Danio rerio: one gene and its partner. The protein of the gene in region 1 interacts with the protein of each later gene in a biochemical or structural test. Links are inferred from orthologs where the notes say so. Each region holds a gene or a part of one and is shown in the gene's direction. Other genes may lie near its edges.

Region 1 (11,462 bases):
CAGATTTGTCAGCAAAAATCATTCAATTTGCTGAAGCTTTGAGAAAGTTGTGGCCAAATTAATACGCCGAATCACCCCGCAGTGGATGAAAACATCCCAACAGTACACAAGGAATTTAGTTACAATGATTTCCTTTGTTTAGAAAATGTAATTGTGTTTTTTCTGAAAACCCCATAATCTCACAATTTTAATCAGCATGATTTAGCTCAGCTAAAGCCATAAAGCAAACAAAACAAGCAACAACTTTGAGCTAAATTGTAATGTGGAAGAAATGCATATACACAGTATCCAGAAATTAACATTAGTAAATAGATAAATGAAACTAATTTGCTTAATAAAATAAAGACTGAAACATAGATTAAACTAATAATGCGTATGTGTAAGTGTGTAACATATATAAAACACATCACAAAAGTACAAAAAATAAGGCTGAATACTAAAAATATAAATATAAATATTGATAAAAACTAAAGTAAATGATTTTATATAAAACTATGCTAATAAATACTCTAATAACATATGCTTATAAAAACTATCTTTAGTCTTAAGCTAATGTATATCTGTGTTCATGTTCAGGCCTCTGGAGACGCAGCAGTGGCCGGAGATCAGGGTGCAGGACAGAGGCTCGTGATCTGGGGGACTGATGTCAATGTGGGAACCTGCAAGGAGAAGTTTCAGGTGTGCTGAAGGTCTATGACTGAACTCAAGCTGTTTTTCCATGTCAAACTGACCTTATATTGAGAGTCTGTGTGTTTCCTCTGCAGCGTTTCCTTCAGCAGTTCACAGACCCCGACTCGAGAGAAGAGGAGAACGCTGGTCTGGATCTCAATGAACCGCTTTATATGCAGAAACTGGATGAGGTAAGAAGAGCAGCCCTCGTCACACTGAAGACTTGCTCGCATTATAGTGCGTCATGCAAAATCCTTAATGGCTAATATGTCTTCTATAATATAAATATTGTGTGTGTGTGTGTGTGTTTCAGATCAGTGTTGTTGGAGAGCCGGTGTTGAATGTGAACTGCACTCATATTCAGACATTTGATGCTGATCTGTACCGCCAGCTCATCTGTTATCCACAGGTGAGATCTACAACAAAAGAAGCAACTGTGTAGTAAAGAGCTAGCGTTAACCCTGAGGAGAGCGCGGCCATTTTGGTGTCGTCGTCAGTTTTTAGCAGGATCAGGAGAAACATGCTTGGGTTTTGGCATACTGATGAGGAAAACTAGCTGGTTCTAGCTGGATTTGAAAGATCTTTACCATTGTGGACGTCACTTTAAATCATTAAAAGCCCAAAATGTCCTTTTTAACTGTTTGAATTAGATCAAATTTACGGAGTGACTCCCGTACACATCTCACTCTCCAAACTGCATACTGGAAGTCCTCTAAATTGGTCAAGTGACAGTAAAGGCTTTTATAATGTTAAAAATGTGATTCTTTTGAACTTTCATTACATCAAATACTCACAGCATTAATATTTGTTTATTTAATCTGAAATGTTTCTTGAGCACCATATCATCACATCAGAATTAGTTCTGAAGCGTGATGTGACAATTCACAATTTAGCTTTACTTGAAAGATTTTCATATCAGTATGTTGATGTACTTCCAACTGAAATGCAGTATTGAGCAGGAGGCGGGGCTTTCTCTTTGCGCATCATTCCCTCACTAATGGTAAGAGGGGCGTGGTTAAGTACATAAAGCATCAAACAGACGCCACTAGAAAAGCAAATGGCCAAACTAGAGCTGCACGATTTTGGCTAAAATGAGAATCGCAATTTTTTTTTTACATTTTTATTTTATTTATTTTTTATTTTTTTGGGTTAAAACAAAGATTGATTCTCTCACGATTCTGTAGATGTAAAATAAAGGTTATTATGAGTCGGCAATTATTATTGTTTTTTCCCAAACATATGGTAAAACAACAATATTGGTATTATGTGTAGGTCTACTGGTTTCTATAAATAATTCCATTCTACTTATAATAATTCTGATGTTGAATTATGTTTGAGATATAGGCCTATGCATGCAATCATTGACAACATTATTCGACCGTTTAATTCACTGGTAAAATCAACATTATATAGGCTAGAGTAGTTATACTGACTCTTTAAACATTTATTTTCATGCACAACTGTGTGTTCGCTATAAAAGAAAAACATATCAAATGCTTGTCGCAGTCATAACTCTAAAATGTGATATGATCATTTAAATAAAGTGCACACTTTCGGTTTCATGTGCTGTTCATACTTCACACGCGGCACCCAAGCGATCACTCTGTGCCACAAACGGAATATTATTTACAATTTTATTACCCGTTACTCACAGCAAGTTCTGTTCACTAAAGGAGACGCGCAAGTAGGGCACACACCCGCACTATAGTTCACGTCACATTTGATTTCCCGGCCTTGAATACAGCATTATATGAAGACAAAAATGACATTTTTAGGTGAATTATACCTTATAAATACAGTATGTGACTCATTCAACATCATTTGGAGGTGTCCATGTTGCTGAGCAATGTATGTGAAAGAATGAAAAGACTCGTGCAGCCGCCTTTGCTTTTCCCCTGAACTTGAAAATATGATTGGCAGAATCATAGAAATGCTGGATGAAGATCGTCTAGGGCAGGGGTCACCAATCTCGGTCCTGGAGGGCTGGTGTCCCTGCAGTGTTTAGCTCCAACTTGCCTCAACACACCTGCCTGGATGTTTTAAGTATACCTAGTAAGACCTTGATTAGCTTGTTCAGGTGTGTTTGATTAGAGTTGGAGCTAAAATCTGTAGGGCACCGGCCCTCCAGGAATAAGTTTGGTGACCACTGGTCTAGGGGGTCGATTCGAGATTGCGATCTTTTTACGATTAATTGTGCAGCTCTAGGCCAGACTTTGAAGATTACTTGCACGGATTGATTGTTCACATAAAGAATAACACTCAATAGCACTAGCAAAATGAACACATTTGGATTTCACAGACTTTAAATGATAAGAAAAGATCTTTTAAAGAAGACCTTTTATGCAAAAACAGAAACAGTTGTGTGGTAACTGTGTGAATATAACCAGCTTCTAATGGTAAAAATGTGTTTTATGAGTTTAATGGGTTTTAGTTTTTATAATCAAACAATCAACAGAAACACTTTGATTGACATTCATCCTTTGTACATGTCATCAGAGGGGGGGAAGCCCCGCCCATTAGTGACCATCTCTCCCTCATTAGCATAAACAGCCCTGAGTGAGAAGCAGCCGTCTGACATTAGAGTTATCTGCTGCTATGGTGACATAGGTGTTTTTAAACTCCACCCTCTTTTGAGAAGAGTACAGTCTCATTTAAATTTAAAGCGACACTCACAAAAATGACACAATTTGGATCAAAGCCTAAACGGGCAGCTTTAAAGAGTTCTAAAACATTATTTGTGTGTATTTTGAGCTGAAACTTCACACACACATTCTAGGGACATCAGAGACTTATTTTACATCTTGCAAAATAGGGCATAATAGGTTTCCTTTAGGTTTATAATAATAAATCACATTAAAGATTGTTTTGATAATTCTCATTATTAGCGATTTGTGCTTTTAGTCAAATAAGTGTTGCAGTGCTGTGTATGCCTACAAAAACCTAAACTCTGATTTATTAAAATGTGACTTTGTCTAAAGTTTCTAACTTTTTCCATTCACAGGAAGTCATCCCCACTTTCGACATGTCTGTCAATGAGCTCTTCTTCGATCGTTTTCCAGACTCTGTGTTGGAGCATCAGATTCAAGTGCGACCCTACAGCGCTATTAAAACCAGAAACATGCGCAACCTCAATCCTGAAGGTAAGGAACCTGCTGGAAATTAGTGATTTAATGCTCTATACCTGGGTCACGGCACCAAATTGGTGAGATTTTGGAGATTTCAGTCTCTATCAGGGTCACGGCACCAAATTGGTAAGACTTTGGTGATTTTAGTCTTATCACTGGGTCACAGCACCAAATTGGTGAGGAATTTCTTGATTTCAGTCTCTATCCGGGTCACGGCACCAAATTGACCCTTTGCTAAGCTCTGCCTTCCTTAGTTACTGTTAATACGCCTGTCAAGCTTTCGTGCCTGGCACGTCTATTACAATGTGTATGCGCCAGTGTCAGACATTCCCAGGGATATAGTTAGTCCTATTTTGGCGAACAAATGAGATATCCAAGAAAGAAAGGCACAAATAGGCTGCACTATGCATTACAGGGGTATATTCGCGACATAATAGGCAACCAGTTAGAGAATAATTTAATCAAAATTGAAGCTAGCTTAGCCTAGCTTAGTTCATGCAAAGCAGGAGAGGTGAAATTTAAATATAATCTAATAATAACTTATTAAACGGGGATTTCTTTCTTTTTAGCCAAAAAGCCTGATAGGCTAATTGTTGTGCAATGACATAAAGCGTTACTAACCGACGAGGAAACACGCATGGACAGTGCTTCTACATAATTCAGATTCATAATTTGGGAACAATAACCCATGACCTATTCGCTTTTTATATGACTACTATGGTGAAGGCTTAAACAGAGCAGTTCTCATATCAAGCGAAAGAAAAAAAAGAAGACAGCTGTGAAACATAACCGACCTTGTATTTTTGTAGGAAACAATTTAGATCTGTTTAGGGTAAGTGTGAGTTATTGCCGTCAGTCTATCACTGATTGTGTCAGGAATATCAAAACAAAACCAACTTAAATCTGCTCCTTAGCGCCCCTCACAGAGCTTGATCCACTCTGGCATTTCTCCCCTTGAGTTTTTGGTTTTGAAAAGGGAAAAAATTCCACCACCCTGTCCAAACTTTCAAGAGACCAGGTGTCAGATTTACACAATCTATATTGTTACGAATTAAATTAAAAATCCTTAATCAAAAAGAGATGTAACCAAAACATAACAAAATAACAAGGAATTAAAAATATAATCTCTGGTGCCCCCGCGCTCTCTCTCCCCAAAATATATACCAAAAACACAACCACTAAGAATTATCAAGGAAGTATGATTTATTTACAGGAATAAGGAGCAAAAATAACATCAGGAGGGGTTCAGCCAAAATAAATGACAATAAACCAAGCTAACTAAATTAGATTAAACTTCCCTAGAAAACAAGTAAAATAAAATACAGAAAACTTACCTCCCTACTAACAAACACAGGAGAAAACGAAAATAACAAATAAGGCACCAAACCTCCCTACATGCTCCAAGCCCGACAGGGAGACAGAAAACCGGGCTTCAATCGCCGGTTAAAAATGAACACAACGGCATCTCACAAAACCACAAAGAGATACAAGCAAACACTCATTGGATCACGTTCTCCACTGAATACAAGCGGGGAAACCGAGAGAGAGCGGGGAGCCATCGAACCCATGTTCTCTGCGGGTTTTTATAGCCGCCGCCAATCTAAGCGCCAATCATGATCCGACCCAATGTAATCCGCTGCACCTGCGAATACTTAGAGCGAGAGAGAGAGAGAGAGCGAGAGAAAGAGAGAGCGAGAGAAACACCACACACAAGCCTACACTACTCGTAACAATATGCACAATGCTATGGCTCGTTTCCCTCACTTGAAAGCTTGACAGAGCCCCTGCACATAGCTACGGTTGCTAAGCCACGATTGGTGGGTGGCGGTTTTGGTTGTGGCTTAGCGAAGGGTCAATTGATGACAATTTAGGGATTTCAGTCTCTATCCGGGTCACGGCACCAAATTAGTGAAAATTTGGGGATTTTTGGAATTGTATTATTTAAATGTATATTTTAACAAACCGAACGCAGATCTTACAGTTTATTGATAAAGTGTACACATGTGACTCTTCTGTCTCCTGTCAGACATTGACCAGCTCATCACTATCAGCGGGATGGTGATCCGTACATCTCAGCTGATCCCGGAGATGCAGGAGGCTTTTTTCCGCTGTCAGGTTTGTGCGTTTAACACGCGTGTGGAGGTGGATCGCGGACGCATCGCTGAACCCGCCGTCTGCCGAAACTGCAACACCACACACAGCATGGCACTGGTGCACAACCGCTCCGTCTTCTCCGACAAACAAATGGTGGGCATCTCACTTCTATTCAGCTGCATTTATTTTGTGTATCATTTTACGCTCTTGAATTTTGTTTCATTTGTATAATTTTGGTATTTATGCAATTGTGCAAAACAGATGTATTGTGAAGTCGTGTGTGTGTTTGTGTGTGACAGATAAAGCTGCAGGAGTCTCCGGAGGACATGCCTGCGGGTCAAACTCCTCACACCACAGTCGTCTACGCTCACAACGACCTGGTGGACAAAGTGCAGCCCGGAGACCGAGTCAACATCACCGGTATGATTTTATTTGAAGTAGCATGGGCGTAAATCTGATTTAACAGTAGGGGGGGGGACAATATTTTTTGACAGCAATTTTTTGAAGGGGACACAAATAATACAGCCGAATTGTACTAATAAAGATGTCTCCCCGCAGTTAAAAATGGTTTCATCATTATTAATATAGCGTGGAGACTACGTCATTATGATTATTTTTAAAGTTTTTCTCAGGTTTAACGACAAAGCAAATTTTTCTTCAAAACTATTTATTGCATTGTTTGTTGTGTTGTTTACAGTCGACTGTCTGACTCCTGAAGCAGAATAAATGCAGGAAAAGACGTTTTCCATACTCATAATAACTAACTTGTTTACATTACACTTGTTAAAATGACCGATCATATTGTAAATCATTAAACCTGCGAGGTTCATCTGCTAAACAGCCACAACTACGAAAACATAAAAAAATTGTTCATCCCTAAAGAATTGTCATGATCCCTTAAATAAAGCACAACACCCTTACTTGACACTGTACATCTGACTGACCCTGCCCTGCCTGTTCCTCAGTCATTTCTTTCTCCTTTGCCTGTGATTGATAATGTGACATTAGTATTTTCATAAGCACTCATTCTTAAAGCCAAATTGCCTTAATACGTGAAGTTTTTGTACTTGGCGTTTAGCTGCACTGAAAAATTATCTTATTTCAATTTTCTCTGTCATTTTATTCATTACATGACACTGCAATGCAAGTTTATTTATGTTGTAGCACATTTAAATGGTAATTCGAAGTGCTTTACATAAAGAATGCAAAACTATCATAAAAATAATCACAAAAACAAATAACTAAAAAAGGTTAACATTTTAATTTTAAATTAATTGAGTTACTTAAAACTGAATAGAAACTGATTATAGAATAATACAGTGGGGTTAGTGTGCACAGTGTGCACAGTGTAGCACAGCGCTCATTTAGCAAATACACAGCAAAACAATATGCTAATTGTGGTCGTTAATGTTAAGTTAACATTATGCCAAGTCGTCACAAATTAAACAATGCATGGGAAATGGCTTTAGTGTTAGCAACAAGCTAACGTTAACTAGATAAGTAATAGAGGTGTGAACCTATACTGGTCTCACGGTTTGGTTCGGTTACGATTATCATGCCTTCGGTTCAATTCGATATCTCGGTGTATTGACGATGCTTTCCATATACAGTGTTATATTTTAGGGGGGAGGCTATAACAAGCTGTCTGTATAAACACACAGACACACAGCACCACACTGTCTCTCATTCAAACACATACACAAACATAGACAGGACCAAAGAAACACGCTCACACACACACACACACACACACACACACACACACACACACACACACACACACACACACACACTTAAGCCCTTGCAACAGGGAGAGCTTGCGCTGAGCGGAGCAGAAAAAAGAAAAAAAAGCACTTTTCAGACGGTCCCTTTCTGAGAGCTCCTCTCCACGCGAGCTCTCCCGGCTAAACACGTATTGCGAGGGCTTAAACAGAGCAGTGCTCGTAATGTCGAGCGAAAAAAAAGAAAGACAGCTGTGGAACATAACCAGCTTTGTCTTTTTGTAGGAAACACACTTTAGATCTTTTTAGGGTAGGAGGTTTATGAGTTAATGCCGTCTAAAGCTGAATGCGTGTCAGGAATATCGAAAACAAAACCAACTGAACCACGCTCCTTTCTGGCGCCCCCCTGGATATACAGCACCCTTAGCATTTGCCTATGGTGCCTATGCCACAGACCGGCCCTGAGTTGGCTGAGTGTTAAAAATACTCGCGCTCACCTCCCTCGTGACAGAGCGCATAGGAGATCAATGACGTGACATCAGTACATAATAACCGGTTATGATTATTACGGAACCGATACCTTATTGTCCGCGTCTGCATCGCGGTGCACCGAAGAAACAATTAATTTTGACACCCCAAATAAGTAATTTCAATCGTTAATGCAGCAGATTTATGGAGAATTACAAGCCTCGGATAGGAACGGACATGTCCCCCCTTTTCCCCCTGGGATTTACGCCCCTGTGAAGTAGGGATGCTCATTTTGGTTAATTTTGCTTACCGACAACCGCCGCTCATTAATCAAATATTACCTGTTAACTGGTCATATTAATATTAAATTAGCATTTAGTTTAAAAAAATTTGACGTCTCTGTTGTGTCTGACACATTAAATATTGCATTTTAAACACTGATTTATTTTAACATGCGAACATAACAACAGAGTATCTTCACACACCTGCAGTATTTCCAACAGCATAGAAAAACAGAATAAACTAAATTAAATGAATAAAATAAATAGGCCTGCCCTAACAATTTTTTCAATTAAATTATTAATTTAGGCGCCGTTTACACTGTTTGGTCTTGATGCCCAATTCCAATTTGTTGCCTATATCTGATTTGTTTGCCTGTCTGTTTACACGTTGTTTTAATTGTGACCCATATCCAATTCACTCGTTTACACTTGCCATACAATTTATGTTGTCGCGCATGCATAAAGCCGGGTTCTAGCATCTATGCCACACTAGCCACGATGGAAGAAATTGTCTTGTTTTTAGCTCTGCGAAGTGTAGTATAAGCAGTGAATGGTTTAGTCCAGATTTACCCCCACGTAGTAATAATGGTATGGCACTGATGTGTGTGTGTGTAGTTAAATATGTAGCCTTTGCCTGTGTGCGCACTGGTGTTAGAGAGAATAAAGTTGTTCTATGTGTATTAATAGTGACAAAAAGCAAAAGTTACAACACGAAGTTCGCCCAACTTTAAAATGATTTTGTGGTGGAGGAGGAAAAGGGCCGTCATCGCAGCTTGCGCTTATGGTTTATATGCTTTATGATGTCCTCCACCATTCAGAGGAATGTGTGGGTACGAGAGAGATCTCGGGTCTGCTGGGAGCAAATGGTGTCGACTGACCACTTCCTCCTCTGTGTTTCCTCTGATGTTGTTTACCGCGTCTGCATCTCCACACACGCTCTTCTTTCTGTCATTAAACTGCGGAGAAGCACCACATTGTCGCAAGTTTAATGATGTACAGAACGGAATGCCTCAATAAATCCGATCTGCCTGTTTACATGACAGTCGCATTGTCACATATCCGATCTAAATCTGATTTATTTCCCAATGCGAAGGAGGCCTGAAACCGATCTCTGAACATCCGAATGCATGCCTTTTTTTTTTTTTTTGTGTTTACTCAGTCGTAGAACAGATCCGATCTGCGTCACATATGAGCAAAAAATCGGAATTGGGTCACATTTAACTGGCAGTGTAAACGGGGGCTTAGGTTACAAAATGAAAACACTGACTGAATCCTTTATAAGAACCGGCATAGGCTGTTTTTTTTTTTTTTTTTTTGGTACATTTTTTTTGTATTTTTTTACACTCATGTTTTTGTCTTTCGTTTGGCAAAATGACTGAGCAACTCTTCTTTTATTGTGCTCAGGCATCTACAGAGCTGCCCCGATGCGTCTGAACCCACGGCAGAGCCAGGTGAAGTCTGTTTACAAGACCCACATTGACGCCATTCACTTCCGCAAGACTGACGAGAAGCGTCTGCATGGACTGGACGAGGACGGAGAGCAGAAACTCTTCACTAAAGAACGAGTCGCTCTGCTAAAAGAGCTAGCCGCTAAACCTGACGTCTATGAGCGCCTGTCCTCTGCTCTGGCTCCCAGCATCTACGAACACGAGGACATCAAGAAGGTCAGTATGATGGGAAACTCTAAATTGATGAAGTTGTTTTGAGTGTAATTGAATTGCTCCTCCACTTGCGAACTTGTCCCACTCCGTCTTCATGTGTTGATTGAGATTACGTCAGTCATCGAATAAAAATGCACATTTTAAAGCACTTCACGAGACCTTTACATCAAGGAATATGCTGTCAGGACACAAGTTGATGGTGTTGATGTTTTCCAGGGCATCCTGTTGCAGTTATTTGGCGGGACGCGTAAGGACTTCACTCAGACGGGCCGAGGAAACTTCCGTGCTGAAGTCAACATCCTGCTGTGTGGTGATCCGGGCACCAGTAAATCCCAGCTGCTGCAGTACGTGTACAACCTGGTTCCTCGCGGTCAGTACACGTCCGGGAAAGGATCCAGCGCCGTTGGTCTCACAGCCTACGTGATGAAGGATCCTGAAACCCGACAGCTGGTCCTGCAGACCGGAGCGCTCGTGCTCAGCGATAATGGCATCTGCTGCATCGACGAGTTCGACAAGATGAGCGACAACACCAGATCTGTGCTGCACGAGGTCATGGAGCAGCAGACGCTCTCTATTGCTAAGGTGCATAGGCTTATACGTATCTGATTACCTTAGTTTTTTAACTATATACGTTTCATCACAGTATTGACCCAAGCTGCAGTAATTTAACAAGTATAGTTACAAAAATGCTTTATTATATATACACATGTTGAGATAAAATAAATGTTTTAAACACATTAAATTGCAAAAGGATGATAAAGTAAAATAGGTAACACTTTACAATAAATTCTCTTTCATAAACCGTTAAAATAATTCGTTAAAATCAAGAATGAGAAAATGCAATATAGTTATTCATTCGTTCATTTTCTTTTTGGCTTAGTCACTTTATTAATCAGTGGTCGCCACAGCGGAATGAACCGCCAACTTATCCAGCACATGTTTTATGGAGCGGATGCCCTTCCAGCTGCAACCCATCTCTGGGACACATCCATACACACTCATTTACACACACTATACACTACAGACAATTTAGCCTACTCAATTTACCTATAGCGCATGTCTTTGGACTGTGGGGGAAACCGGAGCACCCAGAGGAAACCCGCGCAAACGCAGGGAGAACATGCAAACTCCACACAGAACTACCTACAGCACTACCTACTGCGCCACTGCGTCGCCTATTATAGTTATGTCAACGTTCGCAAAAAATACAACCAAATAAGTCTGTTTATCACATTTAATGAAGCAATTTCGACGTTAGATTTAAATAATAATAATAATAATAATTCTATACATTTATATAGCGCTTTTCTGGACACTCAAAGCGCTTTACACATTGGGGGGCGGGGTCTCCTCATCCACCACCAGTGTGGAGCATCCATCAGGATGACGTGATGGCAGCCATATTGTGCCAGACCACACACCAGCTGATTGGTGGAGAGGAGA
Region 2 (11,462 bases), on another chromosome or scaffold:
AAGTTAAATAATATAATAACACAGTAATATACATCAAATAGGCATGGGCCGGTATAAGATTATGGCGGTATGATAACCTTGGATAAAAATATCACAGTTTCACTGTATTGTGATTACTGCTCTAAAATGTTATTTTTAAATGTCTGTGTAAAAAACCTTTTTCCCCCTTTAAACACAATAAATTTTATTTTGAGAAACATTTAAAACAGTTTGCAACAGTAAACATTTTAGGCTGAGTAATTAAAATGAATCTTTGACTTCTGCTGTTTTCATTTATTTAAAAACAGATTTCATATCTTTTCTGCTGGAGATGCTGTTGTCCTAAAAAAAAGTTTAATAAACAAATCTTACATAAAACATAGGAACAGTATAGCAGAATAATTTGGCGGTTTTAAAACCTTGACTTTTCAAAACCGCGGTATACCTTGAAAACGGTTATACCATGCCTAAAATCAAATAATAGACTCTTTAATATTGTACTTGTTACTTCTACTTTAAACCACACTACAGTTTCTGCTTTATTTAAACAGATGTTTTGTCTGAGAACTGATGAGTAGGCCCATATGGAATCTATGCGCGCAGACTTTTAGCCCATCATTGAGTCTACTTATTTACTTGTGTAAATATGTGTAAATTTTAATCTATTCAGTTTTTAAATTAATTTCCGTAATAATATTGACAAATGAAAGTGTTTCTTTGATTTATTCAAAATACAATTTGTTCAGTAATATTTTCTGTCTTTTAGTAAAGATATTATATGATAGTCTTGCTTTGTTTACTGAATAAGTGGATCAAGATGGTTTTGCGTTGAAAATTTTTAATAAAAGTTAAAGTTTATATATATATATATCTATATATCTATATATACATATATATATTTATATATATATATATATATATATATATATATATATATATATATATATATATATATATATATATATATATATATATATATATATATATATATATCTTAAGTTTTTAGTTATACAAAATGATTTTACAGAATTCTCTGCTGAAATAACAAAATAATGTCTGCAGATTCTGTTTGGCTCTACCGAGTTTCGGTAACTTTATTCAAGATGTTGACCGTGTGTTCTTCAACACAGATGTAATGACTTGTGTTTTGCTCTCTAGACAGTGGAAAAGTTCTTCAGTAAGGAGATCAAGTATCTTGTGTCCTGTAAGCCGGAGGCTCGTTATGCCCAGCGTCTCTTGCCTGACTCTCCAGCACCAAGTCCAGATTCAGGGGTCAGCTCTCCTCATCCCAGCAGCAGGAGGGAAAGCCACGGCCAAAGGGGCAGCTCACAGGGAGTCACAGATACGGTTAGTTAGGATGCTCTTGTTGTTTTTTTGCTCTACTGTACTGAAGGTGGTAGGGCTGGGTCCATAAACAATATTATGTCGAATCTCAATAAAATTTATGTCAATAACAATAAGCTCTGGACTTTTTTACTTTATATTGATCTAAGGGCCAATCACACAGCAGAGTTATGCAACAAAGGGAATCTTGAAGTGTGTTTATATTTGAGCTACCAAAAATGATCGGCCACCGAAAATAGGTTATGCTATTTAATGAACCGTCTAATTTGTGGCTTCAGTCATTGTTGGGGTAGTCTTATAAACAAGGATAAATTAACAATTGATATTGAAATATAAAATGTTATTGTTTAATATGGAAAATAATTAACCCAGATTGCATTTTTGCCATATCGCCCAGCCCTAGATGGTGGTTTTGTCTTGGATCCCTGAATTAGAAATATCTTTTTGCTAGTTTGGTGTCTATAAAATGTTTTTTATATAAATCCTTATGCAAGAATAAAAGGTTCGTATTATTTAATATTCATTTAATACAGTTATTATCATTGCTGAATAATATGATAGCATAAAATCTGTTATGCCTTTTAATCTTGCATTTATTTGGTGAAAAAGGCATTTTCTAGTCTCTCTTAAAAATGAATTATTCAATATATCCAGGGATGGGAATAATTGTATTATAAATAAACACTTATTAACAGTTTTTTCAGTAATGTTTAATCAAATCACTTAAGTCATGTTCCTCCTTAACAACATCATTATCGTTATTGACAGCAAAATAATAATTAGCTGTAATTGAACTCACTGAAGTGGTTTTCATTTCTCATCTATAGGGCCTGTTTTTGTGTTAGTTCTGGGGGTACATAACTGTGTGTGTGTGCGTGCGTGCATGCGTGTGTGTGAGAGAATTGAGGGTTGGGACAACCACATAAATGATTGGATAAGAATGCAGGAGATAATATGAACTCTGCTTTCAAAGTAGTTTACATCAAAGCAACTAAAACTAAATTGAACTGTTCTGTCATGTGGAAATTAACATAATCAATAGGTAGCAGAACTAGTTAATCATGTCTTAGTAAATTTTGGCAAACAACTTTACAAACAAACAAGTTTATAAGGTTTAAAAACTTTTATTCCAGTGTTAATCAGACTGTTGAATGCATATGTATTTTTTTCTGTATTGGGCTTTGCTGAAATACTTAAGAGTCCACAGAAATCCCCCTTAGGGACAATAAAGTATACAAACAAACAATTTTACTTGTAACATTTCCTTATCATCAGCTTATCATGAGTCGGCATCCGGGCAGAGAGCATGAAAGTGGAAGCGATTCATTTACAGTTCTATACCAAGATTAAAACATGAATGAACTATAGAAGGTTTATTGAAAGAAATACTCTGAAATATAGGCTATCACATCTTATATAATTACTGAATCAGTGTTTTAACCATGGAAAGATGTAAATAAAGCTCGAGTTTAAACTATGTAAACAGTTATATTAGAAAAATAATAAACTAATAGAAATAATTTATTGTTTAGACTTGATTGTTGGCCAATTTTGATCTGAAATAAATATTAAAAGTTCTAAACCATTTATGTTATTTTTTGTTCCACTATAATATTATTTAAATTATTTAATTTAATTATTTACATAAAATGTGATATTAATGTTTTGTTACATTTTAATTGTCTTTACATTCACTTTTTAAACTATTTCATGCTCTTGTGCTGAATAAAATGATTATTTTAAGGGTAGTTTATGTTTTGGTGTGAGAACTGAAGTTTTGTGTTGGAATTTCACAGGCAGCTGTAAGCCGAGGCAAATCGCTTGTGGAAAGAGTTAAAGAACAAGTGAGTCAATCTTTATCAAGTTCCCTTTTTGAATTGTTTGTGAATGAACTGTAGTCCTGAGTAGTTTATCATCCCTCTGATCAAGAGTTTTCTGTTTGTTTTAGGAACGTTTTCAGATGAACGGGATCTTGGCCAATGCTGTTGAATGGGGGGTCAAAGTCCTGCATGTTGACGGTAACGTCTTTATCAATATTAATCCTTGCATTGTTACAGAAGGGGGATTTTTGGTTTCTGTTTTTCATGATGGTTCTTGCTTGACTTTCAAACAGATGTTATTTCATATGTTGACAAGAAGAAAGCTAAAGTCTTGAATGCAAGTCCAGCAGCAAAAGGAGCTGTGAGTATTTTTTTGACAACCATTAACATCGGCCATTTAACTATTATATTCTGATTGTGTTTTGGCTACCCCTTAAATTGTTTGCTAGTTTACTGCCCTCTCTTTAACACTGAAGACTTCTTTGCGCCAAGGATATTAACTATAACCATAATGTGTATATAAAATAGTTCTAAAAATCATTCTGAATATAAAATTGCAGAGTTCAGACTGTAATGATACTATTGAGCAACAATATCATTGGTATCACTGGTGTGAACACAGATATAGTTATCACCATTGTTCTTAATGTGAATGGGCCTTAAATTTAAACACTGAACAGATTCTGTGCAGAGTTGCTTATAAATCGGTTATGTATATTTAAAGTTAGCTTATCACTCTACATTTTAGGCCAGCATTCAGCACACAGAAAAAAACTCATATCCCAGACACAATGGTAAGTACATCTGTTTTTATTGTGTTGCAACTTTCAGTTAAATAATTGTATAATAATATATTAAGCCATGCTTTCTTTGCTTTTTATTCATTTATTTAATCTGTTTCTGTTGGCAGCTGGACGAATTCGTCGACCATTTGTGAAAGTGGAAGACTCCAGCAGGTGTGTTTTCGTTGTTTGTTTTCTTTTTAACTTTCATATGAATGGTTCAACAGCTTTGACAACGATGATTTTTGCAGGCATTACCGTCCCATTTATCTACCCCTGTCCAACATGCCTGTGTGCAACCTTCGGTCTTTTCCGCCCTGCAGTCCATTTTTGATGGAGGAACAGGGAAAGGATGACCCAAAGAAGAAACAAAAAGAACAAAGGTAGAGCAGAGTCAGTAACATACCCTATTGAAATCCTCAAGGTTTTTTTCTGTGTGTGTCTGTCAATGAGAGTCTGTCTTTTGCTTCAGGTCTGTTGGGGAAAGAGCAGCGAGAGGAAAGAAAGAGAGACGCAGAGGTCATGAAGGCAGAGAAAAGAGGAAAGGAGGGTACTGTGAGTGCTGCGAGGTCAAATTTGAAAACTTAAAGGCGGTATGTGTCAAAATAGAAAGCCACTTTTAATTGAAAATCAAATAGAATAGCTGAAGCTGAATCAAAATTTGCATAAAATGTGTGTAATCTGTGCTCACTTGTTTAACCTTCTGACCACCAGCATCTGGATAGTGAGCAGCATCAGGCTTTTTCTAAGAGTAACGAGTATGGAGTCGTGGATCGAGTCACTGCAGGACTGACCTGTGACCTTGTGAACATTAGCACACCCTGCAAAAGGTACAAACATGTCATACATTTTTTTTTGTCTTCGACTCCTATCATGCTTTTAAACTTATAAATTGAGGGTGCTGCTTACACACCTAGACTTTTGTTTTGGAACCTTGCACATTTGCCTCTTCAGTGCGGTTCGTTTCACATACGTGAATCCAGCAGTCGCGCTTGGATCCATTCCAAAACAATCTGTCAGACATCGCCTGAATGAGGTGGTCTCAGCTCAATTGAAACAAATTCTAGAGCGGATTGAGTGTAGTGAGAAAGCAAAAATATCCAAAAAACCAGGCTATATCACATATAGTGTAATATGGATATGTAATTGGCAAATATGGAGAGAAAATAATGAGTAGGGCAGGATGTCATTCCTACCGGTATATCTGCATTTCATGTCAAATAGAAAAGTGAACGCATGCTGAACTATTAACAAGAGCTTTTTATTTGTTAGGAAAATTGACGAACTGCATTTTTGGTTTATCTGTTGTTTCTCTATAATGTATAACATATAATGCATAATTCTAGCCAACGGCTGTATATGAAAAAGTCTTGTTTTAGATTTGTATTTGGTGAGATGTCTGTGGGTCTCACTATTCAATATAAAGTGCAGCGGGAAAAATAAACCGTGGAACTCTTTCCAATGTAAGGAGAGTTTAATCGCACATGACTTTTTTAGAAAGTTTACAGTGTGATGTAAAAGCGAACAGCACAAAGAAACAAGAGCAACACTAGCAGTTTTAATCCCTGTTTCGGAACAACCGATCTACAGGTGAAAGTGTGTAATGTTGCTATTTGAAAATGAAAACAATCTGCAAAGAAACTTTGCTATGTTTACAAAACTTTATGTAACTTTTAAATTTGTAAATGAATAAATGACACTTGCAGACGTGATTTATTATATAAAAAAGTAAATAGCAGTTCATTTGAACCATTCATAAGGCAGTGTACCTACTGATTAGTTGATTGAGTTATATTTAAGATATTTTCATTGCAAAAAAGTGACATGCGCTATGCTTGTTATATACAGAAATAAATCATTCTAAAGCTTATGTAGGGTGTTCGCAGAGTCTTTAAGTATGAAATGTTGGTAAATCAATTCAGAGAAAAATGAAGGCCCTTAAAGTTTTACCTATTTAACAAAGTCTTACATTTTGTAGTTTTTTTTATTTATACAATGGATAGTTGTATACTAAATTTTTCCTGAATTTAGTCTGTGAATGTTGGGGTGATGTGTAGTTTATAAAATTGATCAAATTCTGCCAGATTTGACATCGCTACTTTGGTTATACATGCTGTTGTATAGGCGACACCTGCTGGAAGAAAATGAATTAACATTTTAAAATTAGTCACTCCTTTTGTTAGTATTTTTCTGGTTTCTAAAATTCTAAAATATGGAAAAATATCATGAAGAATGGGTCAAAAAATCAAGATCAGTGTATTTATAGATGAAATACCTGAGTTGTATTAAACGGGAGTCTAAAGTTTCATTAATTCATTTAAATGTAAGAGTTTTCTAAAAATCCACATCTTGTTGTTGTTTTTTTTTACTGGTTTGATTATTATTTTGTAATTATTAGTGGCGTTATAAATCTCAAATCTCACCATTTGGATGTTTTTTTTTGGGGTTTTTTTTTTGTCACGGGTTGGACCATTTTTTTATATCAGCCAAAAAAGCGACGAGACTAATATAATGTGCTTTTCATTTATTACAGAAACAGTACTGCAAGACACTTGGTTTTAACAAACAGAACTTAGAACCTGTATTTCTTTTAAAAATAAAATGAAAAAAATAATCAGTGGAATAAAAATAAATTGTAAAATATTCAGTACTGTGAAAAATTTACTGTTACTATTGTTGCTGATGACACTGAATGTATAAATCTAACATTATAATTCATACAACCCATATTTATTTTTAATCTTGTTTTTAATAAATGATTCAGTTATTCACTCAACTTTGTTTCATTGCTAGATTTGTTATTTTTAAAGATTTATTCAGTGGCATATTTGTGACGGCTGGTAAAATAATGTAGTTGTTGCCTACAACTTTCATTTTTGAGCATTGTTAAATGCATATGATGGTGATTTTAATCTTTACCATAAACATCAGTGGTTTTATCTAAACTATAAACTGTTATTCCAGTACTTCTGTGTTATTTGACTGTTTGGAACTTCATAACTAACTCAAAAGACTAAAACCTGTTTCTCTCTTTAGATTTTTGCGTTTTTCAAACACAGATTTGAATGCAGCGATTTGAAGGATTAATAAACAAATCATCATCATTTATAATTTATGTTGTGTGGGTGTTGAGATCCCGAACTTTAAATAATTAATCATGCAGGCTAAACAAGTAGTGACAGAAAACACCTTTAATAGCCTAAGAAACCCACCACATCTCGGATAACCCATCACAACTACTTCCGCCATCTTTATATTTTACAGGAAAGCTTAAATGCTTTCATATATGTGATCTGAATTATGTGAGAGGAGATCTCTCTCTCTGCAATTGCTACAATTATAGGGGGTTATACCAGTAAAAATGTATTTATCCGCAGGCCACATATGTTTAGAACTGTGGGTTGTGATTCGTATGAATCACAGATCAACCGTGATCTGTTATACCCCTAGTAGGTCTCTTTATTCTGAACCTATCCTATGGGTAGTCGGGTGAATAAATTATCTTGTGCATTGTTATACTGTAAAATATGTGAAACCTGATGTGAAAAAGTTGCGATGAGCTCTTAATCTATGGAAAGAGTCTTAAAAGGTATTGAATTTCACTCTCAGATTCCTGTATACCCTGTTATTAATAGAATCGTTTATAAAATTATTAATACCCAATCCTTTTTTTCCCCTTGTTTGTTTGTTGTTTACTGTGCTTTTGACAGCATCGCATTAATGTCTCTCTGGTCTAGGGTGAAATGCAGCACATCAACTCCTATTCTGAATGCTGGAGGAATGCTGTCAGCAATGCAAGATGTGGGATCTGTGAATGCTGATTGCAAACAGGAAAGCGAGGTGTCTTTGCTTTTTGGCTCTACACCAAAGCAGCCTCTTATAGAACGGACCATAGAAAAACCTCTGCTGGTTCGCAAACGTAGCAGGGGCCAGAGTGATTTCCCTTGGAGCAACAGGGACAGCTTGTGTGAACAATCAGATGTTCCAGAAAAGTCCCAGTCCAAGCGTGGATCCTTTGAATGGGAATTGCACTCCCAATCTGCTTTACATAAGTCTGAGGGTGCATCTTTTCTCAGCAGAGAACAGAACTATGGATCTTATACACTTGAATGCAGGACAGAGCAGCAAAACAGGACAAATCCTGACGTGCACCCAGCTCAGCAGTTCAGTGAAAGAAACTACGAATCAGTAACCAGAATTGAAACCTTTAGGACTAACTGCAGTGAAATAATTTATGCACAAAGTATGCCCGAAAATCAAGTTGAAAATTCAGCTCTTTGGACCAGCACAGAACCCAAACCGGACGCTGACAGTCCCTCTATTTCCCTGCAAAGAAAAGTTCGAAGCGTCAGACCCAGAAGACAAAAGCAAGTATCAGCCTCGCACATCGAATCCAGTCACAGACGAGAATCATTGAGGTCTTTTTCACGTGATCAGTCTGTGCAGAAGAGTGAAAAGCCTCCAGCTTCTCTGCTGGATTTATGGAAGCTCTTTCAGTCTAGTGACAGTTTGGATGAAGAGTTTATGGGGTTTTCAGATTAAAAACAAGTGGAGAACACGCATGTATGTGTGTTCTAATATGATTCACTTTGCCAAATTATATATTAATAGATCTGATCTTTCTTTCACCAGTAGGATGAAACCAAATTCACTCCGTAGAGGCCTTAAAAAAATTGATTATAGATATGAAAAATATCTTGTGAATAAGTGTGTGTGTGTGTGTGTGTGTGTGTGTGTGTGTGTGTGTGTGTGTGTGTGTGTGTGTGTGTGTGTGTGTGTGTGTGTGTGTGTGTGTGTGTGTGTGTGTGTGTGTGTGTGTGTGTGTGTGTGTGTGTGTGTGTGTGTGTGTGTGTGTGTGTGTGTGTTTTATGTATATACATATACATGAGGCTAAAAGACGTGGAGACACACAGTGAGTATGTACATTGGTTGTATATTGATTGAAGAATATAACAGCTTTTATATATGTCTGGGAATGATTTTCTTGATTAAATAGAAAATATTCACCAATGTTTTGTAAGCATCACCTTTCTTCCAGAGCACTAGTCATTTGCACTTGCACTTTTTTTTTACTAACCGTATATAGCATTCAACATTTGAAGTGGATCAAAACCTTTCATTAAAGTTGTCCTAAAGCTATTGAATAACACCCATTCAACTTTTCTGATGCATTTCGAGTGTTGACTACTGTATAAGTTTTCATTTATTCTCTCTCTCTGTCTTCAGTTTTTTTTTTCAACTGAATTATTATTCAATATATATTAAACTGTTCAAATGCCTGTTAAAAGAAATTAATATGGCCACTTGCACAGTTGGTAAATACCGTTACATTGTTGAAATAGGATCTTTCAGATCAGTTTTGTTCTTTGTTAGTTTTCCTCACTATTCTAACTGTTCATAAAGTCTTTATGAAGATTTTAAGCCTCTGTTATCAACATTTATTAGGCTTTTTTTCTTAAGTAAATGATTTCTGCACTAAGGACTAGAATTTTTATGCAAACAATTCCACGTCAATAGGAGTGCATATAGTGCAGTTAACCATAAAGAAAATATCAAATAATTTAGGTCATTACAGTTTTGTTTGTTTTGTCTTAGCATTTAAGTGTTAATGGCAAAGAAACTGTAATTACAGAGATTTGATTTCCAACAGGTAATACAAAAATTATTATTACAGGCCTCCAGCCACCTACACCCCACTGACAAAGGTTCAGAATTTGCCATTGGTCCAGAATTTTTGCTACTGTTTTCTCATTTGTCTTATGTTGACTAATTTCCCATCATAAACTGTGGAAATAACCCATCGAAGGTTATAAGACCATGCAGAATATGACATAAGTTATGTTAGCTTTCACTATTGACCTATGCTGTTGTTACATAGAAAAACTGTAGCTTAACTTTTATTCCAAATCTTGCACCTTATTCTTGAGAGAACAAAAATTGGCTGTTGAAAAGGTCCAAAGCACCAAAAGTTAAGTATTAAAGTTAACTGTTGTTGTTGTTGTTATCCATAAATTTTCAAGAGAGGCTAGAAAAAAATCGTGAAGATCTACATTATTTTTTATTATGTATTAATAGTTTTTTATTCAAACGGCCAAGCTCTGACTGAGAAAAGCGGAATGTGCTGGCCAGGGGTGCGTTTAATAATAATAGTAATGATTATTTTTATTATCAAGTATATTGTTTATTTAATTTACATTTTTTTGAAAAGTCTACTTTAACAATTTGACACATGCAAACCATTGCAGAAATGTTCTAACCAACAGGCCCTTGTCATACAGTACAGATACCTAATAAATATCCTACTATAAATTAAAAGCATTAATGTTTGCTATATTTTTTGTTTTCACAAGCTTTGGCGATGTAACGTAAATTCCACTTTTGAATAATAGGTCATCTACAGCTTTCATCATGAGCCACGGCTGTGTTTAAATTTGCGATGCAGTTTGCGAATGTTTGTTGCAACGATGTTTGTTGTAACAATGGAACTTGCGACCCAAGTAGGTTACGATGGTTAGCCAATTTAGGATTGGATTCCAGTTTGGTATGTATGTAATAAATGAAAACAAGCTAAATTAAGTTTATATATATATATATATATATATATATATATATATATATATATATATATATATATATATATATATATATATATATATATATATATATATATATATATGTGTGTGTATATATATATATATGTGTGTGTATATATATATATATATATATATATATATATATATATATATATGTATATTTATATATAGTATATACATATAAAAGTATATATATATATATATATATATATATATATATATATATATATATATATATATATATATATATATATATATATATATATATAAAATTTCTTTATTATAAATATTTTGGAAATTTTTTGTACATCAAATTTTGAGCATCCAACAAGCTAATCCAGCTAAAAGTAGTGCTTAAAATGTCACTAAATAGAGTATTTAAATATCATAATTACATAGAAAATGAATGAATAGATGAATAACTGCAAAAACAGTTCACTTTTGGAGAAAAAAAGAAGCACCCCTTTTACCAGGCTGGCTACGGGCCTGCCTATGTGTACAAAATACTCCATAGCTGTTTGTGTTTATATTTTTACATTCTTTATGCAAAATAAATTGTGTATTTTCCTGTCAGCACAATATGTTTTGTTTTATTTGTTTATTTTTTATTTTGGTTTCATTTCTCTGGTTAATTTAAACTCGAATGAATGCGCAAATAGTTATTGTTGCATGATTATATACATTATTGCATACTGTTATCACTATTAATAAGAACGTAGCCACATTTCTGTGACTTTCCCCATTATGCGTTATGGTATGCCTTATCATTTAGTACTATACTATGCAAATTTACATTATTTGAACGTAAATCACTGCTGTCCCTCTCCCTATGGGATGATTCTGTTTGGCGCAGAAGGTGACAGCAGGTGGAGCGAGCTCACACTACACTACCCGTCATCCCGCGTGCACAGCTCGCTCATGTATATTTATGAGGCGTTTCTGCA

The links. The genes of interacting proteins can lie anywhere in the genome.
Region 2: of the proteins of mcm4 (region 1) and dbf4, one has a biochemical effect on the other in vitro, tested with the Homo sapiens proteins (2 studies listed by BioGRID). The link is inferred for Danio rerio from reciprocal best matches to the Homo sapiens genes MCM4 and DBF4.

What each region holds. Positions count from the first base shown.
Region 1 is NC_133199.1:39,261,186-39,272,647, reverse strand, and holds part of mcm4 (DNA replication licensing factor MCM4), read left to right. Parts: intron 1-576; coding exon 577-678; intron 679-764; coding exon 765-860; intron 861-982; coding exon 983-1,078; intron 1,079-3,670; coding exon 3,671-3,809; intron 3,810-5,820; coding exon 5,821-6,041; intron 6,042-6,187; coding exon 6,188-6,308; intron 6,309-9,762; coding exon 9,763-10,022; intron 10,023-10,235; coding exon 10,236-10,601; intron 10,602-11,462. UniProt on the Homo sapiens protein: Acts as a component of the MCM2-7 complex (MCM complex) which is the replicative helicase essential for 'once per cell cycle' DNA replication initiation and elongation in eukaryotic cells.
Region 2 is NC_133191.1:47,577,227-47,588,688, forward strand, and holds the end of dbf4 (protein DBF4 homolog A), read left to right. Parts: intron 1-1,137; coding exon 1,138-1,326; intron 1,327-3,119; coding exon 3,120-3,167; intron 3,168-3,271; coding exon 3,272-3,341; intron 3,342-3,436; coding exon 3,437-3,504; intron 3,505-3,891; coding exon 3,892-3,937; intron 3,938-4,053; coding exon 4,054-4,099; intron 4,100-4,176; coding exon 4,177-4,308; intron 4,309-4,397; coding exon 4,398-4,518; intron 4,519-4,639; coding exon 4,640-4,755; exon of another isoform or gene 4,756-4,898; intron 4,899-4,945; exon of another isoform or gene 4,946-5,369; intron 5,370-7,662; coding exon 7,663-8,467; 3' UTR 8,468-8,935; downstream 8,936-11,462. UniProt on the Homo sapiens protein: Regulatory subunit for CDC7 which activates its kinase activity thereby playing a central role in DNA replication and cell proliferation. Required for progression of S phase.